Rattus norvegicus: one gene and its partners. The protein of the gene in region 2 purifies or fractionates together with the protein of the main gene of each other region. This does not show direct contact. Links are inferred from orthologs where the notes say so. Each region holds a gene or a part of one and is shown on either strand. Other genes may lie near its edges.

Region 1 (4,728 bases), on a different chromosome or scaffold from region 2:
GATGCCCTCTTCTGGTGTATCTGAAGACAGCTACAGTGTACTTATAATAAATAAATAAATAAATAAATAAATAAATAAATAAATAAATAAATCTTTAAAAAAAAATAAAAAAAAATAAAAATTTCCGAATCTTATGAGGAGTACCTGGTGTGATGGTTACTTTACAATTCAGTGCTGTTGCTGTTGTCATTTATATATGACGTTCCCCTCCCTCAAAAGCCTCTAAATAGGAGGCCAGGACCCCAGTCTTTGCGAGTGGTAATAGGATTCCACCAGTTTGGAACTATCCTTAGATTCACCCACTAGCAGAGTCGTAATTTGATGCATCATTAGGAAGCAATGGAAAATAAGGACATGGAGCCCAGTGGGAGTAAGAATCTCAGTGGAATGTGCCCTTGGAGGCTCTTTCTTCTTCCAGTTTCCTCTGCTTCTAGCCACCAGGAAGTCAACAACTTTACTCTATAACTTGTGCCCTGGCACAATGCACTGCTTCACCAAGGGCCCCAAAACAATGGAACCAAGTGACCCGGGACTGAAAATTCTGATACCTGAGGCAAAAATCCATTCTTCCTCACTTAAATTCTCCTTCAGGGTATTTATCACAGAAGCAAAAAGTCTAACACAAATGCCTCTGGTGTCTGTTTCCCTCCATGATCTGAACCTCTGTTATTATAAATACTGGTTATTCCCTAGAAGGGAAAGGAAGGATGGAGTACGTGCTTCTGGAACCCAAGGCTGAGGTCATTGAACAAAACCAGAACCAGTTCAGGGATAAATCCTTTGCTTTATCCAAAGACTGCAGCAAGGATACATAGAGAGACTCTGTCTCAAAAAATTAATCAAACAAAAATCTGTCAAGATATATGGCTGGAGATGCCTGGGTCGTTAAGGATGGGTATTGTTTTTGCAGAGTTCTTGAACATGAATCTAAACCATTGTGCTTAGTAATAGTGATGCACCAAGCTGATGTCTTAGATGTGACCTACATAAGTTAACTGTTGCAGGATTCGCAACCAGAGAAACCGGATGCATAATGCAGGAACTCTGAATTTTCCAACTTGGCTACAAATAACAAAATGGCTGAGACTTTTTTTTAAAAAAGGCTTTTATATGGGGGGGTGGCCTCTAATAACATCTCCCTCATCCTCATTGTTGTGGAAAATCGGTGAAATAGTACAGGCCATGTGAGATTAAGCGATTAGCGTATAGACATCAGGTGTGATACCCGTCATTTTGGTGAAATGCGGAACAAAATGCCCTTCCCCTTCCGTGTTTCACTCAGGACCTGCACTAATACACTTCCGGCTTTGCACAAGGACCCGCTTCCGGGGCCGCGGCTAGCCCTAATTCCCACGCCCAGCTGGCCTTCCAGCTGGCCCCGCCCCGGAAGTACTGTCTTCCTTGGGCGCTACAGAACGGAAGCCGTGGATGGCGGGGAAAACAGTCCTCCACTGGCGGATGTGTTGGTGCTGTTGCTAGACGACGAACAGTGAGTTCGTCACTTCCTCAGCCCGTGGCCCGCCCAGGACCGAACCAGAGGCGACCGAAGCCGGCTTGAGTTGAAGAGTTTTCCCCCGCCTACAGGACCCGCCACCAGCCCGGCGGCGGGAGTCAGGGCCACGCCACCTGCAGGGAAGAACTCGAGCCGAGGCGGGAAGATGGCTGCAGACAAGCCTGCAGGTGAGGCGCCCGCGCCGCGACCCAGGGGCTGACACACTGCGCGCGGAGATGGCAGGGCCCGCGTGGGGGACTCCAGGGCCACTTGACTTCACTCGTATATTTCTGCCCCTCACTCTTCTCAGCTGTCCCTACTGTGAGTCCTGTGGGTTTTCTACTGTGACCCGTCTCGATGCCACTGCAGACCATCCTTGCCTTGCTCTCCAAGATAATTCTGCCCCAGAAAGCTCAAATTTGTCACGCCGCTTTCCAGAGGCATCAGGGGAAGGTCTTCCCGAGCTTACACGGTTGCCGTAAGGTCCCCAGGCTCAGCCACTGAAAGTTCCCTCTGGTCAGCGTGTCCTGTGGAATCCTTCTGAAAACCGTTTAAATAGACGTGACGTTTAAGTGTGTCTTCTGCCTGCTGTCACTTAACCTTGTTCGCCATTTGATTTTTCTCTAGCTACTCAAGATTAACTTCTTTTTTTAAAAAAAAATCTTGGGGTTGGGGATTTAGCTCAGTGGTAGAGCGCTTGCCTAGCAAGCGGAAGGCCCTGGGTTCGGTCCCCAGCTCCGAAAAAAAGAAAAAAGAAAAAAAAAAAGAAAAGAAAAGAAAAAGAAAAAAATCTTAATTATGTGTGTGAGTACAGGTGCCTTCAGAGACCCGAAGAGGACGTTGTGTCTACAGGAGCTGGAGTTACACAGTTGTGGGCCACCACCTGTGGGTGCTGGGGACCTACTTTTGTCCTCTGCAAGAGCAGCAAGTGCTGTTAATGGCTAAGCCATCTTCTTTCCAGCTCCAAGATTAAGTTCTTAATCTCTAGGGTTTTCTGTGGTGCCCCCTCGGGAATTTTTCCCCTTGGGGAATTATAAATTTCTAGCCCACTCATTACCTGGAAAGTCTGCTTTATTTCTTTGAAGAAATTAATACTCTGTGCTAGCTGCCCTGGGAGTTTCCAGGGGCTTCGATTGTCTTCACTGCCTGTCCCTCTCACTGGGAATGCCACTGTGTCTGGGCTCTGACGATCTAGACTCGGGGTAAGACTGAGCATGTTTACCCATCAGGCTATCTCCCGGTCTCTCACTGCTCTTCATCTTTTTTCTAAATAGTCATCGTGTGTGCTGCTTTCCTCTCTATAGACTTTCCAAGATTGTCTCACTGGTTAGCCGCTGAGCCCTTACTCTTTAATATGGTTTACGAGCTTTCAAAATTGGGTCCTCTGTAGGAGCAGTAATCCTCCACCCCTGAGACATCTCTCCAGCAGCTGCTTGTTAATTTTCTTATTGTACATTGTCTGTCTGCCTGTCTGTCTATCAGAACACAATCCTTAATACACGTCTGGAGGTCAGAGACTACCTGTGGGAGTCAGTACTCTCCTACCAATTCTCTCCTTCCAAGAACTGAACTTGGGCTTGGTGCCTGAGAAGCCTTTTTGAGCCTCAGTGTCCCTTTGTGTACAGTAAGCATGCTGACAGTGTCTTTCTCCTAGAGCTAGTGAAGGCTCAAGTGACATCAGCTGTGGCTTGGTTTTGGTTGGTTTGTTTTTATACTTTTTCTTTTTTTTTTTTTTTTGGTTCTTTTTTTCGGAGCTGGGGATCAAACCCAGGGCCTTGCGCTTCTTAGGCAAGCGCTCTACCACTGAGCTAAATCCCCAACCCCGTTTTTATACTTTTTGAGACAAGGTCTCTCTAATAGCTTTGGCTGGCCTTTAAGATTTTCTATTCAGGGGGCTGGGGATTTAGCTCAGTGGTGGAGCGCTTACCTAGGAAGCGCAAGGCCCTGGGTTCGGTCCCCAGCTCCGAAAAAAAGAACCAAAAAAAAAAAAAAAGATTTTCTATTCAGACCAGCCTAACTTCAAATTCTCAGGAACCCATCTGCCTTTGCCTCCCAAGGGCTGGAATTTTAAAGGCATGCACCACCATGCCCAGCCTTTTGTAATTTTTGCTGTTGGTGGTAGTGGTGAGTTTGGGTTTTTGTTGTTGTTTTGTTTGTTTGTTTGCTGTTTTTCAAGACAAGGTTTCTCTTGAAGCCCTGGCTGTTAAAGAAACTCCCTCTGTAGACCAGGTAGCCTCAAACACAAGAAATCCACCTGCTGGGCTGGAGAGATGGCTCAGCAGTTAAGAGCACCCGACTGCTCTTCCAGAGGTCCTGAGTTCAATTCCCAGCAACCACATGGTGGCTCACAACCATCTGTAAGGAGATCCGATGCCCTCTTCTGGTGTATCTGAAGACAGCTACAGTGTACTTATATATAATAAATAAAATAAATCTTTAAAAAAAAAAAAAAAGAAAGAAAGAAAGAAATCCACCTGCTTCTGAGTTCACCTCAGAGGGCTGGGATCAAAGGAATGTGCTGAGGCAGCTGGAAACACCACCACCACCACCACCTGGCCTTTAAATGTCTGCTAAGGGCCTGTGAGATGGTTCAGTGGGTAAAGGTGTTTTCTTTCAAGCCTGACACCCAGAGTCCCATCCCCAGGACCCATGTAGTAGAGGAAAATACTGCCTTTTCCAAGCTGTGTCTGACATACACACTCAAGTAAATAGTAAGCGCCAGCCTGTGTCTCTTTACGGTGATGTTAAAGAGACAGAAGAGACATGTTAAGTTTATTTGGAAAGTGCCAGGGTCTGGGGAGTGAAGGAGAGATAGCAATAAGGGGAGACACGGTATGTTCTGTCCCTGCTATTGATCCACCACCAGCTCTGAGAAGCTGTGGCAGTCACTTCCTGTGCAAGGTTTTTTCATGGAGCCTCAGCCAGGGCCACACAGCCTCTAGAAGCAGTTTTTGAAAGTAACACATAGGGAGGAGAAAGGAGGCGTGTGTGTGTGTGTGTGTGTGTGTGTGTGTGTGTATGTGTGTATGTGTGTATGTGTGTGTATATGTATGTATATCTTCCTCCTGCTTTCACCTTGCAGTTGGTTAAGGACATCTAATATGGAGGAACAGATTTCCTTGTGTGGCTTCATGGCAGTTGATGAGCCAGTAGCCAGCCTTAGACTCCTATCTTCCTGCCTCAGCCTCTTGAGGTGCTGGGATTACAAATGTATGTTATCATGCCCAATTTCCTTC
Region 2 (4,136 bases):
GTGGAGGTGGCTCCCTGATGTGCTAGATCATTCGGAGGTTCAGAGCCAAGAGTTGGAGAGTTGTGTCAAGAGTTGAGGATGTGGCTGTGGGGAACCTTCTCAGCCTCCTCCCGGAGTTCTCTCTCTTCCTGTCCCACACTGCCTGGGTTAGAAATAGACTTCCTTGGCTAAGCCTGTTGCCTCTCCTGGCTCTCTTCCTCCTCCACCTCTCCCTTTCCTGGGTCTTCACCCACCCCGGCTCACACTGCTTCCCATTTCTCAGGCAGGGTGTGCCGTATGTGATGAAAGGATCCACTCTCAGGGAAAGCACGGCCGTGGCTTCCCCACTGCCCCAGGATATGGAGGAGGAGCAGGCGCCCGTTGGCTCAGAGCCAGGTACCAATGGGTGACGGGTGTAGGGTGGGGCCGTGCCTGGGAGGAGGGCGGGGAAGGTAGAGGCTGCACCCCTATTCTGTCCCGGCAGGTAGTTGAGTGACAGTTGAGGTGAGAGGCAGTGAGTCTGAAATGAGTGCTGAAGGGCCTTGGTGACTGGTGGGGGTGAGGTAGATGTGCAGCTGGTTTGAGACAGGTCCAGGGACTCTTCGAGAAGGAGACACCGAGGCACAGAAGGAGAAATGGAGTGCACTTCTTTCTCCCTGTCTAGACTTTTTAAATGCTTAGCTGAATGAGTGGGTGATACAAGATTCTATTATAGAAGGTTGTGGCCGTGAGTAATTCCCAAGGTCTTTTATGTGGCATTACAATGCCTTATATAGAAGGTAGATTTCCGCCCTTGATTTTTTTTTCTTCCTTCCTGTGGGAGATTTACTTCTGTTTGACATAGGTCAATAGAGAGTCTGCATTCCTGATAACGAACTGGATGACAGAGGTGGCCTGGGAGTGTGCGAGAGGAGGGGCAGCAGGGAGACAAGGGGAGCTCAGCTAGGATAGAAACTTCCTATGGAAATGTGGTATATAGGGTTGTATAAAGGAATAGGGTAAATTGGGTACCCAGGCTGACTGCATGGCGGGCCAGGCGGATGGAGATGCTTATTCATTCACTCCATTCGATAGGAAGGAACCTCTGTTAGCAGCAAAATCGGATGCTAGAGGAATAAGGTGCCAGAGCACCCACACATAACCCTCGCTTTTAACTGGTAAATGTTATAGGAGTTTGGAGAAGGTAGGCTATATAATGAGTGTGAGAAATCAAGGACCGCTTCATGGAACAGGGGGTACTGATTTGCACCTAGAAGGATGGGTTCCAAAGTTTGAGTGTGGAAGATTTGGTGCAGCAGGAGTCCCAAGAATTTATGTTTCACAATTCTCCTGACAGTTCCTAATGAGTCCTTCCTTCTGAAAGGTGACCCACGAGCCAAACCCCCTGTCAAGCCCAAGCCCCGGAGCTTGCCCAGCAAGCCAGCTCTGCCTGCCAAACCCAGCCTTCTGGTGCCTGTTGGGCCTCGTCCTCCTCGGGGTCCCCTGGCTGAGCTGCCTTCTGCCCGGAAGATGAATATGCTGGCAGGACCTCAGCCCTATGGGGTCAGCAAGCGTCCACTCCCATTTACATCAAAGCCTCCAGCTGAGGCAACTGCTGGGGGAGAAGTTACCCAAGAGTCCGGGAAAGAGGACTTGCCCCCTTTAACACCGCCAGCTCGGTGCGCTGCTCTGGGGGGTGTGCGGAAGGCCCCTGCCCCCTTCCGTCCCTCCTCTGAGCGGTTTGCAGCCTGTACAGTAGAAGAAATTTTGGCGAAGATGGAGCAGCCTCGGAAAGAGATCCCTGCTAGCCCTGACCGACTCTGGGGGTCCCGCCTCACCTTTAACCACGATGGAAGCTCTCGATATGGCCCTAGGACCTTCGGTGCCTCCTGCCCCAGAGAGGAGGATAATAAGACCCCTGCCAAAGCATCATCCCAGGAGAGGACAGCAGAGACTCCCGCAGAGTGCCAGGAAGAGTGTAGCAAGACTCCTGAGGCGAGGTAAGGGCTAAGAGTTCGTATAGTTCCTGGAAGTCTTGAAGGGGCTATGCAGTAAGTGGCTCCAGTTTGGGGTGTTATCTTTACTGTCAGGTTACTTACGTGAATTCAGGCAAACCCAGGCTAAGTCCCAGAGTATCTCTGTTGCAAATGGTGGTGTTAGTGCTGTGTGTGTGTGTGTGTGTGTGTGTGTGTGTGTGTGTGTGTGTGTGGTGTTAGGAATCGAACCCAGGGCCTTGTTCATGCTAGGCAAGTGCTTTATCATTGAGCTACATCCCCAGCCCTCTATAGCTCTCTTTACAGAGTTGATACATGTTATGCTACAGAGTCATACTGTTCAGTAGACTAGTTTGTAGCCCATTCAGTACATATCTGTGTCCTTTGGAGGAAGGGACAGTTAAGTTCTCTTTAGAGATTGGAAAACCCAGGCTCCAGAGTGACTTCCTAAAGTCTCTCAGTTTAAATCCAGACGCGTATGATTCTAAAACCTGTGCTCTTAACTGCTAAGGTCTCCTGTGGCAGAGCACCATGTGGCCCCCAGGGAGGGGTATGCTGGTATCCGTAGAGTACAGTCTGCCTGTGAGGAGTGTGATGGGCCTCAGCTGATTTCTGCAAAGAGATTTCTTCTGTTCGGAGGCATTTTCCCAGATGCACTTCTTACCCACAGTCGGCCTGTGTGTAAGGGAAGGCCGGCTGGGAGGCGCTTCTTGGGCTAGGAGACACATGGCCTGGAGGGACATGAGGGTTTTGGCCATCTAAGATTTTCAGGGCAAGAAAGCACCAGCCTGAAGAATGCAAAGTTAGGCCTAGTGGTTGCCTTCGCTTGCCCACTGTGAAAGCTAGACCTGTTGTGGTCTGGGCTGAGCTTGGAGCTGAAGGCCCTGCCCTGCCCTGCCCTGCCCTGCCCTGCCCTGCCCTGCCCTACCTTACCCCACCCTCCAGCCTGCCCTTTTCTCACTGGAAACACCTGGTGGTTGTGTTGCACCACCCAGGACCCTGGCTACTGGGAGGCCATCCTGCTTCCCAGCCTGATTCCTCTCTGCATCTATGAAGGGTTCAGTCTTGGAAAATCACCCCCACCCCCACGTCCTTCAGGAAGTACCAGCAGGGCTGCTGGGACCAGTTGCATTCTGGCCAGAGAAGAACTTTAACTCCTCAGGGACTAGGAGAGGAAGCCATTATCTTCTTGGGAACCTCTGAGGGACCTGGACACACATGATGCTGTTCTATGAGAGAGGGGGGTGGGGATTTAACCCTGTGTGGACAGGAAGGGAGTGGATGTCATGTCCTGGGCATTTGCTCTGTGGGCACAGCCTAGCTTCCTTATCCCTAGAGCTTCCAGGCCAACTTCAAGTTCTGAGGTGTTTAATCTTTGGGTGTTGTTAAAATTGCTTGGAAGGGATAACTACCCCCCCCCCTTTTCTAATTTGGGACAGACTTCACCATTCTTTTTGTTTTGTTTTTGTGTTTTGAGGCAAAGTTTCTCTGTATAGAGCCATGGCTATCCTGGACCTCGCTTTGTAAACTCTCAGAAATCAGACTACCTCTGCCTCCCTGGCACTGGAATTAAAGGCATGCGCAACTACACCCATGGCCCAGTTACCTCCCCTTGTCTCTCTTCCTCTCAGGATCCTCACTTCCAGCCTAGCACTGAACGGGGACCTGGCTAAACTGGCTAGCTCTGGACCACCTTCTGAGGTGAGTTGTCTTCATGTTGTGAGTACAGCTGTGTAGAGGGGAGCTGGGCAGTCATCTGAGGTCACCTCTTATTCTCTTAGAGTTTAGATGGGGGAAACTGGCCCACGGACTTGCCCAGGGACCTGCTTTCAAGACTCAGATTTTGTTTTAAATTCCCAGGCTAGTGTGCCTGGTCATTAAGGTAGCTAAGTATGGTTGGTCATGATGATTAGGAACAGTATTTATGATATTCTAGCATTGACCAAGCCTCTACTGTGTGCTGTTGGCATGTTGTAGGGGTATTAGACAATTTAATCCTTTTTGTTATTCTGGCTTTGTTGGCCTCTTTTGAGAGTGCCAAGACCCAGGCTAAGCAACTCTCTTGGCCTGAGGCAGACTTGAAATATCTGACTCTCTAATTCTCCCTGGCTATGCCTAGGTTCAGAAAGGGTAAAGTCTGGACTTCCTATACATTCCCTCGTCTTATGAAGCCTTTGAGCAAAG
Region 3 (4,923 bases), on a different chromosome or scaffold from region 2:
CTCAGTCACCATAGCACTTGGGAGACAGAAGTATGAGGACCAGGACTTTTAGGTCACCCTCAGCTACATAGAAATTTTTAAGGCTACTCTACAGTACATAAGACTGTTTCATTAAAACAAGAACATTCACTTTTGTAAAATCTGAACTTCTATCTGCAGGCAGGCATATATGTATACACATTATGTATGTATACAGGTGTATATGTGTGTGTATGTATACGTATATGTATGTGTACACACACACATATATGTATATCAAACAAGTAATAAACATCCTAGTGTAGAACTAGTGGCTGGTGTTTGCTATACTCTAGATGGCAAGGCAGGAAGTCTGTTATCAGTGAACGGATACCACAGAACCTTAGGACTCCAGAATGCTGCTGGACTGTAAACCTGAGAAAATAAAGCTGGCTCACACACACACCTACTTTCAGTAGGTGGTCTGGACAGACACCTACTTTCGATGGGCGGCTTGGGTCCGCTGACTAAAGACTCTGTGATCCGAGAGGCAACTGAGCTGTCAAACGCAGAGTTAGAGGAGTCCGGGTCCGGGTCACTGAGGATGCTTGGGAAGCTAGCTTTGCTCTGGGTTGGCAGCTCAGACTGACGCTCTGGAACAGATTCAGACAAGGAGCATTTAAAGCACTTAAGCCCTGTGATCCATACCTGGAAGGTAGACACAAAAATCAAGCATCCAAGGCCAGCCCTGGCATTTGAAACTGGGGGCAGGGACAGGGGAGAGAGAACATTTTAAAACTGAGAACACCAGGAACAGAATGGGGTACAAAGTAAATATCTTTAAATCCTATAAACCAAACAATAATAATAGTAAAATAACCCCAAAAGAAAAGATAGAGGGAGGTGGATGGACGGCAGGGAGGTGTGAGACTGAGGCCAGGTTGGGGTCAGATGCACACAGAAAAAGGAAACGGAAAGGAGAATGAAGGAGGGTACTAGGATACAAAGGTGTAATCAAGGTGGGAGCTGGTCAGCCAGCAAGAGCTCAGTTAGAGGCCAGCATGGGCTGCACAGCACATTTCAGGACAGCCAAGGCTACACAAAGAAACCCACCAGGTCTCAAAACAAACAAACAAAAGGGGGGGGAGGGTTGACAAGGCAGGGAGGCCAGGGCAGGATGAGAGAGGATCAAACAAAAACAAGCAAAAGTGTAAATTATATATATAAAAAATCTTAATTTTTTTTTTTTTTAAGTAGAGAATCTCAAGGACCAATAAGAATGTCCCAGTCTCTGGCCCTTCCTTACCTGCCAGGGCTAACTGAAGGCCACTAATATCCACAGACTGCCCCATGTTTCCGACATCCATGAGTGCAATCTGGCGAGGTGTCTTTTTGAACAGCTCCCTCGGGGGTGCCAGCATGAGCTGGGAAAGAAAGAACTTTTCTGGCGGAGTTATAGGAGGCAGAAACCCTGCAAACAAAAAATACATGCCGATTTCTCGACAAAGGCTACTTTTAAATTTTCAAAACTTAACTTTAACAGTTAACTTGACACTTAGCTGTTTCCTGCTCGCCACACTGTGAGCCGTTTCGTTTCTATGAACTAAATGTAACTGAGTTCCAGGTAATCGAATATGTACATTTAGTATACTCATATTAGTCCATAAACAAATATATCACTTGAGACAATGTGGACCTATGGAGACGTCAGTGAAACTTGTGGTTATCAAATACTTTGAGTCCTGCAAAGGCTAAAAACTACAATATGGTAGCTTTCTGAAATGCAGCCTGTGACTGGGAGTACAGCTGTACCAGAGTCCTGGGCTAGGCTCGTGGTATAGAGGAAGTGACCCTGGGTTCCATCCTCGGTACATAAGTTAGGGGAGCATCCTCAGATGTAAACCTGTGCCCGATCTTTGCAATGCTGCAATAGTAAACATTCCACAGTATTGCCCGGGACACATACATGCATCTTGGAACGGTTAATTAGAAACAACTTCATCCTCTGCTCCCATGACATTACAGCAGACCAAGGAAGGAGGGAGGCGGCTGCAAAGACTTTAGATGTTGTATAATGCGGATCTCAACCTGCCACTTCTTCAGGTTCTTAATATCGACTTCTTTACTCAGAGGCTTTAAAAAGGGGGTGGACTCTGCCATTGGCTACTCCGCATACCTCAGGACCTTACCTGAACGAACCGTATCTGACATACTTAAAATAAGTCCAGACCATCGGTGGGCTTGTTCGATGCGTTGGCTTTTTCGATTGGGAGGGATCATCTGGGGTGCAGTGAGTTTGAAAAGAAGCTTGCAACTTCTGACTACCCACCCCCATTTTAGTGGAACAAAGTATGGAAAGGGAGGGAGGGTCGATCCTCTCTGAGGAAGCCGAATATGTTCCCAGCCGACGAGCTCCCACAGAACAGCAGGCTGCGGGTCGTACCTGAGAGCGGGGGCCGATCGGGCTCCTGTCCGCCCCGGGCTGGCGGCGCCGGGTTGAGCAGGTGCGCGAAGCTGGCTGCGAACGGGTTAGCGGCGAGCGGCTCGGTGCGGTACATCTCCCAGAGAAGGTAGAGCGCCGTGAGGCGCTGCGCGGCGCTGGGCAGCAGGTCCGGTTGCTGCAGCAGCATCACCAGCACCGAGCCCAGGCGGAAGTGGTCGGCCTTGCTAAAGTAGTGGTGGAAGGCGGTGGACAGGCCCTCGAAGGTGCTGCCGCCGCCTGCCTCCTCCGAGATGATGCTCAGCAGGCTCGAGAGCTCCTTCGGGGTCAGGCTCATCCTGCCCGCGGGGCCTCCACTCCCTGACCCGGGGCCACCTGCTCCGCCTCGGCCTCCGCTCGAGCCCGCCGGGCCACTCCGGAACGCCGCCGCCTCCCGCGCCCCTCTTGGATCCGCTGAGAGAAGCCGGCCAGACGCCGTGCTCGCCCCGCCACCGGGCATCAACCTCGCCCGCCTATCCTGCTTCCCGGCCGAAAGGCCCTGGCGCCGGCTCGCTGCGTCCCCCCGCGGCCGTAAAGCGCACCCTTCTGCGACAGCGTCGCAAACAAAACAGCGCGTAAGTAAGGCGAGCGGAACGGAGAAACAGCGCAAAGCCGGGCCAAGCCGAGGTTCCGGGAACGCGAGTGGGCGGGGCACTGTGCCCGGAAGTGGGCGGGGCGCCGCGGAGGGCGGGGACGCGTGGACTCAGTAATGTAAACTGTGGTAAACTGTGGTTAAAGCCCCATGGAAGCGATCCTAGAGTGGCGGGTGGCGCCAAGCTATCCCAGTCGATCGTACCTAAGTTATAATTTGAAAAATAGGTCTATCTTGTCCGATATAACATCCTTGATGGCTCATGGTGAGATTACCGGCACCAAGAAGGTAGAGGCAGACGAACCCCTGTGAGTTTGAGGCCAGCTTGGTCTACACTGACAGACCCTGTCTCAATCAATCAATAAGAAAGAAACAAAAATCCGAGAAAGTGTCTCAAGAAAAACTCGTTTTCAAAGTCGTTTGTAGTACTTCATTTTTCTTAGCCTGCCCTAGGGCTCTTTTTCTGGCCACCTTGGCTGAATACTGGAAAACCCTGGAAACTTACATTACAGATGACTGTGAGCCACTATGTGGTTGCTGGGATTTGAACTCAGAACCCCTGGAAGAGCAGTCAATGCTCTTAACCGCTGAGCCATCTCTCTAGCCCTGGGAAACTTCTTTTGTACCAACCTCTTGGTCCAGGTCCCAGACACCACTACCTGCTCCCCACTCCCATGCTCTGGGTGGTGACTAGTACCCACTCTAGAATTACAGAAACCAACGGAATGTCATCAGCATCACCTGCTAGCTACCCTGTGCTAAAAATGGCAAACAGTTCAAGAATTTTCTATTTACCGGCTAAAATCCTTAAGGAAATTTTGAGGAACGGGTGTTGAGTATGGCGCATTGTTTAGTTTGCCGTTAAACGTGTGGAGGGATTCTGCCAATGAACGTTACAATCAGCAGAAAATATAACTTGGCAAACGGGGGAAATGATTCAAAATACCTCTATTATTATTATTAATCAACTACGTTCTCTTTGAGCCCTTTTACATTGATTGTATGCTCTATGACAACTACTCTACAATACTAAAACCCACTCAAGCTAGTTATTGTTGTAAATTATTATTAATTAGTAACTTAAATGTTGGTATAGTATGGGTGCTTCAAGATGTTTGGAGGTATTTGAGCACAGCAATACTAGCCCCAAATAGAGCTGATTTTCATCAAGGTTAACACGGTACCAAGAGCTTCTTTATGTTTCCAATCAGTTTGTTTCTAGGACTTCTATGCTATCCCCACAAACAGAGCACATTTTCACAGTAGAAGCTGACTTCCTCTCCCTTCCTGAGGCTGCAAGTCTGGAGTTATCAGCTCTGCAGTCCACCTCTGAAGCCTCAAGGGGAGAATCCTTCCTAGTCTTGTACTAGCTTCTGGCATTTATCCAAAGCCCCCGACCCCCCTTAGGTTAAAGCTTCTTTTGTTAGGTGCCCCTAATTGTTATTAAGTTTCAAACTTAACGTTAACATATCAAAGCTGACCTGGCTGCTGGCTTCCCCCAGCATCCCTCAGTTCCTCCCTAACTGGACATGGCTGGCATACCCCCTCTCTACCGTGAACTCCCCTTCCAGCACAGGCTCTTCCCTCTAGAATCCAGACATTTTGATTACCAGTTCCTTTGTCCCTTTAGACTCCTGATTGCTGCACATGGTCTCCCCCTCTCCCCACAAGGTCCAGCTCAGTCTAGTCATGTCCACTCTGGACGTCCCTGCCTCTACCTACACTCAACCTTTTATCTACAATAAACTTTCTCCCCACAATACCTAGGAGCAGTCATGTCCTCTCCTTTTTATTTCTTTCCTTCAGTCATGTCTCCTCTAAGTTTCTCTGTGGCCTCCTGCTATGGAAGGCTGTGCTGTCGGCACCATGTGGTTGTTGCTGTTGGAGCAGCTGG
Region 4 (4,136 bases), on a different chromosome or scaffold from region 2:
AGAATGAGAGAGATAATGGCAGAAGAAGAGGAGATGTTACACCATTTTAAGTTGTCTTAAGTCTAAGTGCAAGGCTGAATTGATTAAAATTAACCAAACCCTAAACATGTTATAGATAGTAAACACCTGAACATTCTCACTACATTGCCAGCCTTGAAGCCAAGGGCAATAAAGCTAACAAACTGGTGCCAGAAACTCACCATTAACTAGCTATAAGGCATTTTTAAAATAAAAATCCAAAAGGTGGTTCTATATTGAAACTAAACAATTTACTTGCGTAAGTGGACAATTCAAGTAACTTCTAAATTGATACTACCTGGCAACACAGATCAAATGCTTTGTATCAATAACATACTTCTACCAAGAGAATACACTCAAAATAATTCCACAGCAAGTATTCTGTAAAAATGTGTTTCTGTAGGTACATTATATACATACATACATACATACATACATACATACATACATACATACATGCATTACATGCATGTGTGTGTGTATGCACATACACACACACACACACATACACATACACGATTTGTACCAAACCAAAATAGGACACAAACACATACACACACTTGTACCAAACAAAAAATAGGATCTATATGTGTGTGTATGTGTCTATAACTAAATATTGTTTTATTACCACCAGTGAGGTAACCGTGATATCTATCACTAGGATGGTTATCTATCCTAAAAACAGACTTCGTTCCACTACACATCACCCTTCTACTCCTATCAATTTTATTCTTGAAGTACTTAATGGGGGAATTCCTGAAATAGCTTTTAATTCAACTATATATCAGACTTTAGAGTTAATTAATACCTATAATTCAAAAAGCCCTTTAAGACTTAGTAAAAACTTTAAGTTCTACTTTATAAAACCCTCAAAGCAAAGAAAGACGAGCAAATCTATTCTCACCACCATTTTCAAGAAAGAGAAGGTACAAACTAAGGAAACTCTGACACACATTCCCTGACTCAGAAGGGCACTTGTGGGGTCTAAGAAAGGCCTCTAGTGGGGTTGGGGATTTAGCTCAGTGGTAGAGCGCTTGCCTAGGAACCGCAAGGCCCTGGGTTCGGACCCCAGCTCCGAAAAAAAGAACCAAAAAAAAAAAAAAAAAAAAAAAAAAAGAAAGGCCTCTAGTGTTCCCTCACTAACTTTCAGCTTAAAGTCACTAGCCTCTGCTCTGTCCATCTAAAAAACAGTATGTTCATATGTACATGACTTCTACAATCACATAATCCTTTATTCTGTAAGCAACGTATTTCAGAATAAAAGAATTTTTTATTCTATAAAGAATTTATTATCTTTCCTTTTTGGATGACATTTCAGGAGGACTTATTTAACACTTTCATTCAAATGTGGTGGATGTAACTTATATAGTACCTCTATTTATATCTTCACTTAGTAGGTTCTTAATGCCCAAAACTTTTGTCATCAGACTTTTAATGTTCTCTACCTAACAACCAAGAAAAAGGCACTGATGTCTTCATACTTCTCTCATTTTGAAAAAGGCCATTCCTGTAAGCAGTGAGTCAGATCCTGCCTGGTGTTGAGGTCCTATCCGCTCCAGCTCTAACTGCTCAGCAACTTCCTGCAGTCCACCCTAGAGGGAAGAACAGTCGCTTGTCAAAGAGAAGACTTTGGGACTGGAACTCACAACTATACATTTAGACACTGACAAAAATATGAATAAGTTTTTAATATGTAAAGATTAACCTTGTAAAGATGGCAAGGGGATTGATAAAATATTAATCTGCAATACATTTGTGGACCATAAAAGCCTTGTTACCAAATATGAAATTCTAATAGGAAAATTTTATCTTAATTATACATTTTAAGGCATGTGACAAGCAAACAATTTTCTACAGATATGGAGGAAGTAGATCAGATTCAGGGTAACAGGTATTAGTCACACTCAGTGTATTGTGCCATCACTCATTAAAAACTCAGTATTGAGTACAGGCATTTCCTTTTAAATATCTAGGCATCCCCTGAAGTATTTACAACTAAATAAAACAAAGACAGCACGAGTGTTCAGACCACTGCTGTCAGTCTGCCACATAATGTTCATTTTCTCAACTAAGAAGAGAATTTTACAGATATAACTCTTTTAGAATGGTTTGCTATGATATGCTTACATTAATATAGCCATGACTGAGAAAAATAAAGAATGTGAAAGGAAAAGAGAAGAAATAAAAGACAGACAGAAGCAGACTACTACCAATCAACGCTCTCCTTAAATTACAAAGGCTTTACTAGCAAGTCAGGCCCTCCGAAGTCCCATCCTAGCTTGATAGGACTTTTGCCCACCAACTACTTCTGTGCTAAACAGCATTGTGTGCACTATGTATCCTTAGCAGCCACTGGTAATACAGACACAGACTAAATGTGAACGACTGGCAGCACCTTATCACTAACATACACTTTCAGTGGGAGCAGCTCACACAGCACACAAGAAAATACTTGATATATTTTTAGGCATTTCTGAATATATAGATGAGTAAAGAGTTAGGACTATTTATGAAAACTATTATCATACCAAGCTGTCAATTAAAAAAACCAAAAACAAAAACGTCAGAGCCAGATCAGACTTAGATTCTCAGCATGCCACCCATCTGTGTAAGCAATCAGAATACTCTGCTGGAGTTCACTTATGAGGAAACCTCAAATGACACAGAATTCTACAACTTTCAGCTGATAGTCTGAAATAATCTTGCAAAGAACTTCTCCCAGTTATATGGCACCACACCTATATTGGAGGCAAACACCTGTGTCCTGCAATTCTCAGTTAATTGTTGAAATCAAAGCTTACACATTCACTTTTCTAAAGCCTAAAGAAACTTGACCAACCTTGGTTTTACTGAAGAGAGGGACAATACTGGCTATAAATACACTTGTTTCCTTAGTTATAATTTAAATATCACACTAAAATCCAGCAACTAAAAACCCACTCACTGTATTGCCAGGGATCCGTTGCCAACTCAGGTGAATTTGCTCTTAAACCGAAGTACTTTAATCAGGAAACATTTATTTTGTTCAAAGGTTAAGAATAAATGGTCACATATTTTAAGTAGTATCAGAATAAGCTGCTATCTATATGGAAACTACATATTTACTATACAGTACTTAAACCTAATCAGTTTTAGCTATGTAAATAATAACATACTTCAACAAGAAACAATAAAGAGTCTCTAGTCAGGAAAACCACGTTAGAACAGTATTGAATGTCGCTGCCCGCTGCTCGTCAACCACAACCTGTATCTTTAGGATAGTTCTGTGTGCTGGGAGTGTGAGCACCGCTGTAATAGGCCCAGTAAGTGTGCTATACCTCATACTTTCGTTTCAGTTCATGATTCTCAATCTGGCATCAATAACAAAAACCTGGCCCTTAGCTTGACTTTTTAAAAAATTTATTCTAGGGGCTAAAGAGTTGGCCCCTAGAGCACTGCTGCTGTGGAGGACCAAGTTCCTAGCACCCACTGCAGCTAACGAGTACCCATGACTCAGTTCCAGAGGAGTCTAGCGCTCTCCTCTAGCCTCTGCTACCTCTTACTATGAACGTCCACAGAATGTGTGTGTATATAAAATATATTTAATGTAATTAATATATTAATCAACCTTATTCTGGGCTGGAAAGATGGCTCCGCAGGTTAGAACACTTGATGTTCTTGCAGAGGACCCAGGTTCAGCTCAAGCACAGCATGGTGGTTCACAACCATCCATAACTACAATTGTAGGGGACTGGATACCCTCTTCTCATGTCCTCAGACAGCAGGCACACATTTGGTGCATAGATACACATGCAAACAAAATACCCATATACATAAAATAAAATTTAAAAAATCTATGACAAAACAAAAACCCAACCAATCAAAACATAAACCCAAAACAAACCTTCTCCTGTCAAGATGAACACTGCAGCTTGGAAGAGGGCCGTCTACTACTTAAGAACAACAGGATCAGATAATATAACTGTGTTTAACATGATCTTTAAAACATGGCTTAAAACATTCAGGCCTAAGATATTATAGAAGTTACTTGGTCTAAATCACTGCTTCTCAACCTTCTTAATGCTACGACCCTTTAATACAGTTGTGTTGTGCTGACCCCCAACCATAAAATTATTTTC
Region 5 (4,136 bases), on a different chromosome or scaffold from region 2:
ATCCGGTCTGCCAGGCAGGCACATTTTAGGTTCTCACTTCGTCAGATTCCCTCGGGACTGTGCTACGAATAAACTACTCAGAATGCACCGCCATCTAACCGTGGTTTGTGGTTGGAAGAGTCGCACTAAGATGACATGGGTATTTCAAATACCAGTTCCGCTGTTGGGGCTGAAATACACCATCGTTTTGTTCATGGGACTGTAGTAGACTCAGACCCAAGCAGAAACACTAAGTGGGAGGCCAATGGTTCTACGTGACCAGGGTTAAGGGAAAGTCACTAGCTGTATTCCAAGGACGCACCACAGAGAGGCAGAAATGCTTGTTGGGCTCAGAGCCTCAAGATATTAACACACCCGTGCTACCACTCTAGGTGTACATGCTACTCCAGGAAGCAGACAGCCTATGCCCTGGCGATAGCCTTCCCAGGACACTTACCACTGATGGGGTTGGTGCACCCAGCACACTTCTTAGCATACAGGTCACAGAAGCAGGTCAGGCAGTATGGAAACTCATCCCGGGCTGTGAAGCGTTGCCCAGATAGCTGCTTCTTGCAGGCTGTGCACACAAAGCACTCCCTGTGCCAGGGCTGATCCCGGTAAGTAACACCTCCTGTGGTAATTGGCTGGAGGAGACAAGTATAAGAGTCAGGGCTGCCCCTGATTCTGGTAGACATCTGTCACTGCCGTTGCCTGTGCATGATGATGTAAGACACACCCCACCCCCAACGAAGGTGCAGTTTGTTAAAGTGGTAAGGAAACCTCATACCTCAGGCATCTCGTGGTATCATCCATACCATTGCTGTAGCTCCTGGCTTTCTCCCTAGTGATCCTGGGTCTTTAGGTTTCACAGAGGTGCAAGGGAACAGAAGGTATGGGTACTGTGGGGTATTGTCACCCTCCCGAATAGGAAGGTGGCACAGTGGTGAAGTCATGGTCAGAGACAACACTGAAAGCATCGACTGCTACTTCTGAATGGCTCTGTAGCTTAGGCAAGGCATGGCTAGAGATCTTAGTACCTCAGTTCTAACTACAAAGTTGGGGTGACAAAGAGAACGGGATGAATCTCTGTGGAGGCCTTCCTTCAAATCCCAGCAAGTGGTGGCCTCTCCAGGTCTAGTTCCACACTCAGTCTGCATGGTAACTAGAGAAGCAGAAAGGCAGAAGCTTAAAGACAACTGGAATCAGCATCTGCTGGTGTGGCCTGAAGGGACCAGCATCCCGGGGGGCCTTTTATTCCCGCCCTATCTTAGAGTCATGGAAGGTTTCTAAAGAAGCCCTAAGGTGATAAACGGCTTGCCACACCTCAACTGCATCCAGTAACCTCCAAATACTGCTTTTCCTATGAATTTAAATCCTGGTGGAGAGTTGAGTCAGAGGTCAGGGAGTCTAAGTGGGTCTCAGCTCGACATGCAGTGGCCACAGCAGACAGAGTGAAAATGCTCCGGGCCGCATCCCAATGCTCTTTACTCTTTTAACAGTATGGCAGTGCTTGGCAGTTTCTGAGGGCCCTGTATGAAGCTTGTGCAGCAAGATTGCTACTTCTGCGCTGCAGACGAAGCAACTGAGACCCAGGCCTGGCCCAAGAATTAAGTCACAGCCGGCTAACGACAAGGCAGGGAGACTCAGGATTCCCTTCTGTCCTGTGCTCTTGTCATTAAATCACACATGAGGAATTATTTGTCACGCCCCTGACCCAGAAGTAGAATTTATGGAAAATATTCTGGGTCTCCTTGTTCTGGGAGATACAGGAGGCATATGAGTATGTGAGGTGATGTCTACTCTGCCTGGAGTTCCCCCTGGGCCTCCCTCTGTGCTCTGGATCTAATACCCTTCATGCCCCCCTACTCTCCTCTATCTCCTACACCCTATGCTCCCCTACTTCCTCCCCATCCCCCACCTCCCCGCTCCCTCCCCCTTCCCCATTTCCTTTCCTTCCCCTACTCCTCCTCTCACTTCCTCCCTCCCCTCTCTGTACCCCTTCTACCTCACCTCTCTAATTCATCCTCTCCTCCTCTCTTCATACCTTCCACTTCCTCCCACTCCCTCCACATCTCCTCGCGCCCTCCTCCACCCCCTTTTGCACCACATCAGCTCAGCTTCATTTCAGCTTAAGTGTGGCTTTCTTAGAGATTTCCCTTCCCCAGCAACCCCAACCTCCATCCTCTGGTTCATTTTCTTGTCGACTCTGTGACCAATCGGTCCTGTCGCTCAGCACATGTATCAAGACACCCTGCTGGCTACAGAGTCATTTCCACCTGGATTAAAATCCAGCCTTTCACTCTCCTGCCCGCCCTCAGACCCCTGGTGTTGCAGGACCTCTTTCCTTGCCTGAGGAGGGACGGGTCCAGTGTATTTAGGGAGCACCTATACAAAGCCACAGACCCACAAAACTGTACCTTTTGCACTTTTACAACTAAAAGGACCACACTGATGGGCCGGTGACAGGACAAGTGACTCAAAGGAGCCACAAAGGAGCCACAGGAACTGCTATCATGGTGTTGCAATGTGTTGTCTGTAGTGATGCCTACAGGTTTATAGCCCTGGCAGTACAGCTGATCTCAAGGCCAAACGACCTCTGAACAGTGCTCAGGTTTCTGCTGTGTATATGCACGGATAGATTCTACGGCCATCAAACATACATGAACGAACACGGCATTCACCATGTGCTACCTGCCTTGCTTACAGAGTTCATTACAGGTGAACCCAATGAGAGTTTTCCCTACCACATCAAGTGAGCCTTGCCGGAAGGGACCAAACTGTTTCCAAGCCAGAAGAGGTGGCCATAACAGCAGAAAGAGATCCCAGAAGAAACAAGTGCAAGAGTGAACTGAGCAAAGAATGGCCACAGATGTGGCAGAGGGCAGTGGAGCAGGGAAGTGAGGAGAGGGGAGGGCTTAACTTAACAGGCTGGAATAGGTCCTAACAGCATTGAGGCCCTAGAGGCACCACCATGCATGGAGCTGTGTGTAGGAGAGCGTGGCAGACCTCCTCTGTGGTTCTTGTTTATTCAAGATCAGCTTAACAGAGGCAGGCTAAAGAGAGAGAGTTTCCCTTCCCTCTGACATCAGGTAATAACATTTGGAAATGTTATTGAAGGCGGAATTTTTCTCTTTGAGAAAAAGAAAAAGAAAAGGCCAGCTCACAGACCCGGTAGATAAACACTCAGACACCCAGGAGAACAGATGTTCAAGGCAAGAATGGGCAAGCTCTCATAGCAGAGAGCCATGACAGGTGTTCCTTCGTGATGGCTGGGCCGGGGACAGAAGCTGAGAAGGACAAGAAGCCCCCAGGGACCCCAAGCACCTTTTTGCACTGCACACACTGCAGGGCATACTGCTTCTCATAGCAGGGCACGCAGAAGTTCTGATTCTCCTTAGGTATGAAGCTCTTGGTTCCGATGGGCTGCTGGCAGCGCTGACAGGTGAAGCAGGTCTCGTGCCAGCTGCTGCCCTTGTATTCCATCTTGCGGGTACCTGTGGTCAGAGGCGAGAGAAAGCAGCAGCGGCCGTTAGACTGACTGAGGTCCCGGTAACGCGTCTCCAGAGCCCGTTACCACCTAGTGTTATGATACGGTAAGTCTCCTCTGCTCTCGGAGGCTCCTCTCTAACTGGAGATAATTGCTAGTTTGCTTTTGTTTCAATGCTACACATGCAGTCCTAGAACATAGTAGGACTACATGGTACATAGTTGGTACTTGATGTTTACCTAAATATGGGAATTAAATTAAATTAAAATTGGGAATGTTAAGTGGAAATAAAATTAATAAAGTAAATATCAATAAATTTAATTAATAGATTAAAAATTAATAAAATAAAAAATGTAAAGTGCCTTTCCACATGGTAAAACAGATGAAATTCAGCACAGTTCATTAATCCTTATGTGGTGGGGTTGGTGAAGGTCACGACATGGTTTAACTTCCCATGGTTTCAGCTATCTGTGGTCAAACTCAGGTCAAACTGAAAATATTTAACGGAAAATGCCAAAAATATACAATTCATTCATAAGGAAAAACCGGACACCTTTCTGGATAGCGTGAGAAGATACCGCACTCCCTCACCCAGTCCGCAAGGATGGCTATTGTCCTGTTGCTCAGAGTATCCACACTGCATATGCTACCAACCCTCATTACAAGAACA
Region 6 (4,136 bases), on a different chromosome or scaffold from region 2:
CATTATTTCTATTCATATGCAGAAGTATGGAACTTGAAACCCTTATGGAGAAAATATTAGCTCCATTTTAAAATAACTGATGAAGAAATTCATCTAATCATTGCCTCGATCCCAGCCTCTATCAGATCTCATCCACGAGTAACAACAATCTAGCTATGCTGACATCACAAATGTTTCTGTCTCCGTTGTTATACTGTCACTGCAAATGCTTTTCTTAACATTGTTATTCAGGCTCTACTACCCGAATCTCTTAACTTATAGACTGTAAAAAAGAGTGACTGGGTTATTAATCATAGCCAAGAATCTACAGAAATACAGAATCATAAGCACTGGTTCTCACAGGCTTTTCAAGAGGGCATTTGCCAGTATGCAGAAACGTGTGCCACATGGATGGCAGGATAGCCAGTGCTGCACACAGCGGTCATTAGCGTTGATAAATGTCCTATCTGAATAAGTGCCCTCAGACTACCCTCCTCCTGACATGAGTCTTCCAGGCCCCAGTGTGACTCAGGAGACCTCTTCACTCAGAGAGAGATCTCAACGCAGTTATTATTAGTCACCAGGGATATATTCTCTTAAAGGGGAGGGGGAGGCAACTAACAAAAGCCAAGTCACAAAACCAATCACATATAATAAATTAAGGCACATAGAATAGAAGAAATAACTTTTGAATAGCAATGAAATCAAGTACTTAGATTTCTGTACTAAAGTTTACTACTCAATTTTGCTATTGTAGATATATGGAAAGAAAAACCAATTTTCAAATTAAGATTTCTGACAAAATAGAGCTAACCTGGTTTGAAACATAAATGCATACAAGCATGCACACATAAACACGCATGTGTGTAGTACACATGACTGTAACCTTTAGTTGGCCATCACTAAGAATATGAATTACCGTAAGGGGCTCTTCCAGCCAAGGGGTTTATTAATGGAGTTGGGTTGCCACTTCCTTCCCTTCTATTCCGGTCTGCTAATGCTGGGAAATCTGAAAGGTCCAATCCTGTCACATTTTCACTGCCATCTAAATGATAAGAGATAATACTTGTTACTGATTCCACAAACATCTACAATGACACACAAAAGCCAAACATCTCACTGGAAACAACAGTGTCGTCTTCTTTAATAGTGCAGTGTGGTGTTGTAGGCACATGACAGTGGACACACATACTGTGGATTCTGTGGACTGATTTTGTGTCATGGAATGAATTCCCTAATAACTGAGGAAAGCATTCTACAGCCAGCATCTTAAAACACCCAAGTCTGGAGATGTAGAAAAAGAGAGGAGTTGTACATTATTTCCCCCTGTTGGAAGAGGGCAATAAAACTTAGTGCTTCTTAGGGAACAAGAACTACACTGTTTAGCTGTAACTGCTCTTTTCATTCAAACTGGATGGAGCAAGATCTAGATGACTTGGGAGCTTCAACTCTAAGATACGATGACATTAGCTCTTGCAAAAGTCCAGAAAGATTTTGAGGCAAACAGAGGAAGCCCTGAGGACTTCTGTCATATATACTTTAGTTTGAAACAAAAATGTGTACACATGTATGTGTTTGTTAGCTCCATGCAAGGATGGACTCCTAAGTATCAGGAGTAGGTGGGGAATAAAGATCAAAACCCAGAACTTTATATTGCCTGTTACACAGTAGGCGCTCAATAAATATATGGAATAAAGATGTATGTATTTGTTTTATATTAAACTGCTACCATTAGACATAAACATTTAACCCAACTTCTCTACTTTGGCTATTTTAATTATTTTTCTCTCAGCCTTTCATGTTCTTAACCTGTATTCTAATTTTGAACCACTTAATTTTCTACCTACAATTTAACTGTATACAATCATTCTTCTTTATCTTGTGCCTTGTTTTATAAGCATGTATAGATTTAGGGCTGCTTTCCAATTAATTTTGATTTTTCTGAAAAATTTCACAATTAAAAGCATCATAACTACTATTCTATAAGTAAGTTCACTTATTAAACCAAGGAAGGTGATAATTTAAAATTACAACTATAAAGGTCAAGATAAGCCATTTCTCATAAATTATTTTTTTAATTTCCATTAAAAATACAATAAAGCAAAATAAATTAAAATTTTATTTACTGATTAATTTATAAGTTAGTATCTCTCATATTATGACTAATTATAAACTTCTTCAAGTAAAAATTAAATTTTAATACATAACATTAGATCTTTCCATGTCTAAATGTCAAGTATTATGTGAGAATATATTTTAACCAACAATTTATAATTTTTCAACTAGAAACTTAAGTCTTGAAAATAATTTTTCCAGTATAAAATCCAAGAATTTAAAATTTTGAGACTTTATAGTAGCATATAAAAACACTGAATTGCAATGTGAGAGGCAGCCAGACCTCACACACTGGGTATGAAAAGTGTGCTCTTTAAAGGTGATCAAGTATAGGACTTTGCTTAAGAATTAGAAGGTTGACGGATTTTAAAGTCACACCCAGAAAACTATAATTTTCAAATGCTTATAGACTTCCATTCTGTCAATGGTTTTAATCTTGGCTGGTCCGCTTCAGTTGTTCAACAAGCCACCAGAACATGCAGAAGCTAGAAGCCTACAGCTACCACAGGGCTTCCTTTAGGTCTTCTCCTGCGGCGTATGCATGCTACCTTACAACCTCTCCTCTTACTGCCACCTTCACGTACAGAGTGCCCAGGAACACTAACTCTGGTCCTATAACCATGGCAACACCACTATTTTCTCATCACCAAAGCACCTAGAGGCAAGGCAAGCCAGCAATACCTACCACTCACTCCCTGTTTATTTCCTGCTAAAGCAGTTGCTAAAAGAAACCAACAGACTTTAGTTTTTGCCAAAAATCAAGTTAGTTTCCAGGTAGCTCAATCTTATAGATAATACTGAATCAAAATTCTTAAGGATTAAATGTGAAAATTTTCATTAAAGCTATTTTTAAAAATGAAGTGCGTCCTACGATTGACAGATTCTCTTCAATCCATGTATCTAAAATCAAAATGTCCTACCATTCAACCTAGTCTACACTCTTGTTAACACTCAGTGATAGGGCAAAGGACAGGAAACATTTTGAAGAAAAAACCCAAGATTCTGAGGCACAAATATGGTCCAAATTAGTATTTACTCTCTTTAGATGTTACAAAATAACTGTGATAATAATTGTGCAAGGCCAAGTTGGGGAAAAAAACATTTACTTTCTGATGTTTTCTTAAATCCTATCCCTGACAGTTTTCCACTAAACTAAATTCTGTTTAAAACAGTAAAATCCTGCTGCTATTCAGAGACCAGTGCGCCGACTTGCTTGTATTTCAGAATTCTACTGTACTTTCATTAGGGTGCTAGCTCCAGAGTAAGCTTACCTGTTCCATTAAAAATGTTACTTGATAAGGAGTTATTCATTCCAAATGCCTGATTCCTGTTCATTCCAAATCCAGACATACTGGGTACATAGAAAATAATTTTAGATATACAGTAAGAACACTAAGTTTGAGATGAAGAAAAATAAAAGTATATGCTTTGGGTCTCCTCATATAAAACATCAATATGTTTCAAAACCAATGCTAATTTGAGAATAAAATCTTTATTTCAATTTTAAAAATTCTCTAAAATTCTTCAATGAACAAGAAAGAAACAATTTAAACAAATAAATTTTAAAAACCGAAAAAGAAACTTGGTTATTACTGTTGAAGAACAGAGATTAAGAATCCATTCAGAGCTGACAGTGAGCTACCTTGTTGGGGAAATGCACCAACCTCGACAGTATGCAGGTAGGGTTTAAGATTTCCCTCCCAAACCATTCATTCCTGACTTGTAAAGCTTGCTTTTCAGTGCAAGCCTTCTCTTTACAACCCGGTCTTTCCCAACTATTCTTTCCCCTGAGTCTATGTCCTATTCATTCTCTGCCCCCTGGTGTTAAAATTTCAAGGTATTCAATAAATGTTGAGTTGACCTGAATTAAACTGACTAGGTACTTAGAAAACTGAATTCAGTGTTCTAAAACTCATCACTCATATCTTAAATAGAGCTTAGTTTTCATCTACTTAACAGAAAGAAAAAAAAACCTCCCTATAGTACTTCCATTTTTGAATTAATGCGTAACTTGATTTCTGCAAATAATTATAAATAACTAC
Region 7 (4,136 bases), on a different chromosome or scaffold from region 2:
GGGCAGGAGTGATTGATTGGCTCTCAGACCTGAGCAGCCTCTTTTCTCTGGTATGCGCTCAGGCAAAGACCCTATGCCTACTCCCCTGGGACCCAAGCTTAGATTGAGAGCCCTCTGCAGCCGACAGGACATGGTGCTTGCCTAGGGGGTCCCCTCATGACTCCCTGGGCACAGCGTTGACCCGGGAGATGGACACAGGCAGGGAAGAATAGGCCCTGCTGGTGGTGTTAGGATAGCCAGCTCAGGAGCAGTCACAGTCCTTGTGCCATCCGTCCATGGGACTCCTGGGGAGAAATGGGAGTCTGGGGTGGGGCTGAAGGAGACATCGGAAACGTGGTGGAGTTTTAGATTGAACAAATAAAGAGCTGTCCTGTGTAATTAATATTCGAGGCATGGTCAGACTGGAATGGTCTTCCTTGTGAATCTGAAATTCACATTTAACTCAGCAGCCTACAGTTTCTGTACCACCAACTCTCAGTGGGGAGGGTTTTTATACAAACTAGCATGTTGAAGAGACAGCTAGTAGGCCAGTGTTGGGAAGGTGGAGGGTGGGCAGGATGGGGGGCAGGACTGACACATGGTGTGTATACACACACACACACACACAAACAGCAGGACTGATACATGGTACACACACACACACAGAGCAGGACTGACACATGGTACACAGACACACACACACACATGCACACACACACACATGCACACACGCACACACGCACTCACGCACAAGCGTCTGGGGCAGCTGCCATACTGTATAGTCTGTACTTGTTTCCAGTGACAAGCATAGTGTCCTTACTCCAGACCAGATTGTCTTTGATCAGAAGAGGAACTGATGCAAACAGAACTTAAAAGTATGGCCCACATTCAGAACGTGTCTTTCAGGGACCTGAGCAGTCAGAGCCAGCCAGCCGTGACCCATCCTAGGTACTTGTGTGCTCTCAGGCACATCCTGTGTCCTGCAAGATCTCTGTAGCTTTCCACGGTGTGCTGCCACGGTGGGGCTCAGTTGAGTGTGTGTTCTTCTGTGGTTGCTAGGGACTTGTGGGCTTGCACAGTCCAGGGTCAGCCCTTCAGGGTGCCTCGTCTCCGTGGTTTGCCTGGTTCTGTCTTCCTGTCGTTGCCGTGGAAGGCTGGGCTTGGGCTTCAGTGTGGTGTGAGGTTATTTGTTCCTTTTGCTGCTTACTTGAGACTCTGAGAATTGAACTGAGGACCTCATGCACAGCAGGCAAGCACTCTACCACTAAATCATCTTCCCAGATGTCTAGTTCCTCTTAACTCAAGGTCTTAAGTATTCGAGTATGCTTGAAACTCACTCTACAACCCAGCCAGTCTTTGGTCTTAGGATCCTCCTGCCTCAGCCTTCCAAGTATTTAGGCTTACAGAACTGTGCCACCAGGCCTGGTCACAGTGATGTGGAACTCATGGACTCAAATCTTTGTCTTCTCTCAGCCTCCTAAGCTTCTAGGATTACCAGTGTACATAACCGTGCCAGCTAGAAATGGAGCCTCTCCTGGCAGCTCCCATTGTCTTGCCAGCTTGGCTGGCGAAGGAGCTCTGTCTTCCCAAGCATCCCTCAGCATCTGCCATCAGAAGCAGCAAGGTGCACTGAGGTACAGAGGGCTGGAACTGCTACCCAGTATTAGCAGACAGCCAATAGAGTCCACACAAAGAGGACTTGACAACTGCATGAAGACCCCAGTAGCAGCCCAGTGGCTCGAATGGATCCTTGGTGGCAGGCTACAGCACGAAGGGTAGCACACAGCTGCCAGAGTCATTTCACTGGGCCAAAAAAATACAGCAAGTGCCTCAGACCCAGCTAGGGTGTCCCAGGTGGAGGACCTAGCTATAACTGAGCTGCAGTGGGGGCTGGGAGGAGCTTGGTACCATTGCTGCTCACTGTCCTTAGGGACCAGAGTGACAGGCTGAAGGAGCTTGGGAGTCACCTAGCCCAGGATTGGATTTCTGTATTCCCTGCTGACTGTTGATGTGAGTCTTGGGCAGCTTTAATGACTCGGTCTCAGCTCTGTAATCTAGAAGTCCTTGGTTACCCACTTCATGCCCTAGTCTGAGCGTTTAGGCCAAGAGCATACTTTGTGATACCTGGCTTCACGTCCCACAGGCATTTAGAGGTAACAGAGAGGGGTGTCGCCAAAGCTAACTTTGGAAATGACCTTGCCTGTTGGTTGGGTGAGTGCACAGGTGCATGTGGACCAGGTTCTGAAGACAAGCACACCATGCTTGGGCTGGAGGTGTATGCTTCTCCTTGGGGACCGATGTATGTGTAAGAGTTGGACCATCCCATGGAGCAAGAGGTGCTTCAGTGCCAGGTAGCACTTTGTACACTGGACTGTGATGTGGATGGTAGCATGCAGCGTCAGAGCCTGGTTGTCCTAGTAGTGCTGGCCTTTGGGAGGGACACGTGATCTGAGCTGCATGGCCCCCTCTGTTAGCAGCCCCTCTTCTGGTAAATGATGAGGCTCTGAGATGAGAAAGTCAGGACGCGGAGACAGTGTAGAAATGACTCGAACAGAAAAGCATCCACTCTGCCAGGATCCCCTCCTGGAGACCAATGTTTGTGTTGGGAGGAGGCAGCCCTGGTCTGCTCCCCCAAAGGCTGTGGTAGGAATTGATTGACAGCACCTTATGACTTGTTCCAGCCCACCAAGCTGGGCCACCAAGCTGTTTGCCCTCCGCTCTACAGGTGAGTGGACTGTGCTCTGTGTGGAAAGCGTGTGGACATCCACCTCTGTAACAGACACAGCCGGCTAGGAACGGCCTGGTAATGCTTGGCCTGAGGCCTGGAAAGAGCTGGAAACTCCACCCGGCCGGCATGGGAGCCTGTGGGAGTTCTCCAGAGCCCCGTTATTCTTTGAGTTCTTCACATTCCTGTGTATTTGAAGTGTTTGCCTTCTTCTCAGAGCCTGAGCTGGTATTTTGTCCACCAGAGACCAATACCCAGCACACACATCCTCATACTCACAGACCACCCTGGTGGTCAGGTAATTAAAGCCACACCCGGCTTTGGAAAGACTGCGTTGGAAGTCACGCTCCACAACATCTCATGGCCAGGTTTCTTTATAGAGAAACATGGTTGGTGTTGGGCATATGTGGAGAGTAACAGACAGATTCCGAATTTTGGCAGGGCACTACAAGCCAGATGTTAACCTGGTCCTGAATTGGGGGTTATTTTAATGACATTTCTCCATGTCCTCTCTTTCTGCCAGGTCCCCAGTCTGTGTGAAGATCTCCTGTCTTCTGTTGACCAGCCCCTGAAAATTGCCAGAGACAAGGTGGTGGGCAAGGACTACCTTTTGTGTGACTACAACAGAGACGGGGACTCCTATAGGTGAGCTCCCACATTGTAGCGCTCACCTCACAGCATGGGTAGCCCATCCACACATCTGTTTGTCCTTCTTTCTCCTCCTCTCAGCTGTCCATCTGACCCACTAACGGGCATGTGTGGGTACCTTCCTTGAGCATCAGAGAGAAGAAGGTCTTGGTGCCGTACAGTCTAATGGAAGAGCCGTGTGGTTTCAGGGTCAGCTGCCCCGATAGGGTGGTGCGTCCTTCCTTCCTTCCCTTCTCTTTTCCTTTGCCATCACCATGTGGCCAGTTGACATTGGTCCCTACCCAGGAAAACACGTCTAGTAGCTGATGAGTAGCTGTGCTGTGATGCAGACAGTCAGTTCAAAGCTGGCTGGGGGCCTTAGAGGAGCCTAGAAGAATCTGTGGTCCAACTCCAGAATGACATGGTGTAGGACATGGTCCTGGGTTAGATGTTTTTAATAGACTAACTATCTATTTTGAGATGGTCCCACTATATATCCATCCCTTGCTGGCCTGGAACTCCCTTTGTAGACCAGACTGGCCTCAAATGCATAGAAGTCCTCATGCCTCTGTCTCCCGGGTTCTGGGATTAAAGACCTGTGCCAACACACTTGGGATCATTTGTTTCAAGTTTCCCAGTGTGAGAATCCCAGAACACCGCAGGACTTCCTGGGGATGAGCACACTGGGTTTGGGCTTATTAGAGACCACACTACCAGGGTTCTTTTTGGAGAAACAGGGAAGGGGACCAGGAAGAGCAGTATGGACTCTCAACCAGCACTGTTCCTACTGGGAGCAATGAGACTT

What was found.
Region 1: the proteins of Tnks1bp1 (region 2) and Cnot10 purify together in Homo sapiens (affinity purification with mass spectrometry; 4 studies listed by BioGRID and IntAct, with this or other methods). This does not show direct contact. The link is inferred for Rattus norvegicus from reciprocal best matches to the Homo sapiens genes TNKS1BP1 and CNOT10.
Region 3: the proteins of Tnks1bp1 (region 2) and Cnot11 purify together in Homo sapiens (affinity purification with mass spectrometry; 5 studies listed by BioGRID and IntAct, counting the BioPlex papers as one, with this or other methods). This does not show direct contact. The link is inferred for Rattus norvegicus from reciprocal best matches to the Homo sapiens genes TNKS1BP1 and CNOT11.
Region 4: the proteins of Tnks1bp1 (region 2) and Cnot7 purify together in Homo sapiens (affinity purification with mass spectrometry; 4 studies listed by BioGRID and IntAct, counting the BioPlex papers as one, with this or other methods). This does not show direct contact. The link is inferred for Rattus norvegicus from reciprocal best matches to the Homo sapiens genes TNKS1BP1 and CNOT7.
Region 5: the proteins of Tnks1bp1 (region 2) and Fhl2 purify together in Homo sapiens (affinity purification with mass spectrometry; 3 studies listed by BioGRID and IntAct, with this or other methods). This does not show direct contact. The link is inferred for Rattus norvegicus from reciprocal best matches to the Homo sapiens genes TNKS1BP1 and FHL2.
Region 6: the proteins of Tnks1bp1 (region 2) and Cnot2 purify together in Homo sapiens (affinity purification with mass spectrometry; 5 studies listed by BioGRID and IntAct, with this or other methods). This does not show direct contact. The link is inferred for Rattus norvegicus from reciprocal best matches to the Homo sapiens genes TNKS1BP1 and CNOT2.
Region 7: the proteins of Tnks1bp1 (region 2) and Capzb purify together in Homo sapiens (co-immunoprecipitation; 5 studies listed by BioGRID and IntAct, with this or other methods). This does not show direct contact. The link is inferred for Rattus norvegicus from reciprocal best matches to the Homo sapiens genes TNKS1BP1 and CAPZB.

Annotation. Positions count from the first base shown.
Region 1 is NC_086026.1:123,204,973-123,209,700, reverse strand, and holds the start of Cnot10 (CCR4-NOT transcription complex subunit 10), read left to right. Parts: upstream 1-1,533; 5' UTR 1,534-1,658; coding exon 1,659-1,680; intron 1,681-3,471; exon of another isoform or gene 3,472-4,728. UniProt on the Homo sapiens protein: Component of the CCR4-NOT complex which is one of the major cellular mRNA deadenylases and is linked to various cellular processes including bulk mRNA degradation, miRNA-mediated repression, translational repression during translational initiation and general transcription regulation.
Region 2 is NC_086021.1:90,544,605-90,548,740, forward strand, and holds part of Tnks1bp1 (182 kDa tankyrase-1-binding protein), read left to right. Parts: intron 1-262; 5' UTR 263-281; coding exon 282-375; intron 376-1,342; coding exon 1,343-1,958; intron 1,959-3,583; coding exon 3,584-3,653; intron 3,654-4,136.
Region 3 is NC_086027.1:49,308,670-49,313,592, reverse strand, and holds the start of Cnot11 (CCR4-NOT transcription complex subunit 11), read right to left. Parts: upstream 2,970-4,923; 5' UTR 2,898-2,969; coding exon 2,402-2,897; exon of another isoform or gene 2,239-2,401; coding exon of another isoform or gene 2,148-2,238; intron 1,430-2,147; coding exon 1,265-1,429; intron 612-1,264; coding exon 459-611; intron 1-458. UniProt on the Homo sapiens protein: Component of the CCR4-NOT complex which is one of the major cellular mRNA deadenylases and is linked to various cellular processes including bulk mRNA degradation, miRNA-mediated repression, translational repression during translational initiation and general transcription regulation.
Region 4 is NC_086034.1:58,492,024-58,496,159, reverse strand, and holds part of Cnot7 (CCR4-NOT transcription complex subunit 7), read right to left. Parts: intron 1,611-4,136; coding exon 1,500-1,610; intron 1-1,499. UniProt on the Homo sapiens protein: Has 3'-5' poly(A) exoribonuclease activity for synthetic poly(A) RNA substrate. Its function seems to be partially redundant with that of CNOT8.
Region 5 is NC_086027.1:52,885,069-52,889,204, forward strand, and holds part of Fhl2 (four and a half LIM domains protein 2), read right to left. Parts: intron 3,474-4,136; coding exon 3,304-3,473; intron 624-3,303; coding exon 437-623; intron 1-436. UniProt on the Homo sapiens protein: May function as a molecular transmitter linking various signaling pathways to transcriptional regulation. Negatively regulates the transcriptional repressor E4F1 and may function in cell growth.
Region 6 is NC_086025.1:54,030,993-54,035,128, forward strand, and holds part of Cnot2 (CCR4-NOT transcription complex subunit 2), read right to left. Parts: intron 3,446-4,136; coding exon 3,366-3,445; intron 1,025-3,365; coding exon 899-1,024; intron 1-898. UniProt on the Homo sapiens protein: Component of the CCR4-NOT complex which is one of the major cellular mRNA deadenylases and is linked to various cellular processes including bulk mRNA degradation, miRNA-mediated repression, translational repression during translational initiation and general transcription regulation.
Region 7 is NC_086023.1:156,780,980-156,785,115, forward strand, and holds part of Capzb (F-actin-capping protein subunit beta), read left to right. Parts: intron 1-3,227; coding exon 3,228-3,349; intron 3,350-4,136. UniProt on the Homo sapiens protein: F-actin-capping proteins bind in a Ca(2+)-independent manner to the fast growing ends of actin filaments (barbed end) thereby blocking the exchange of subunits at these ends.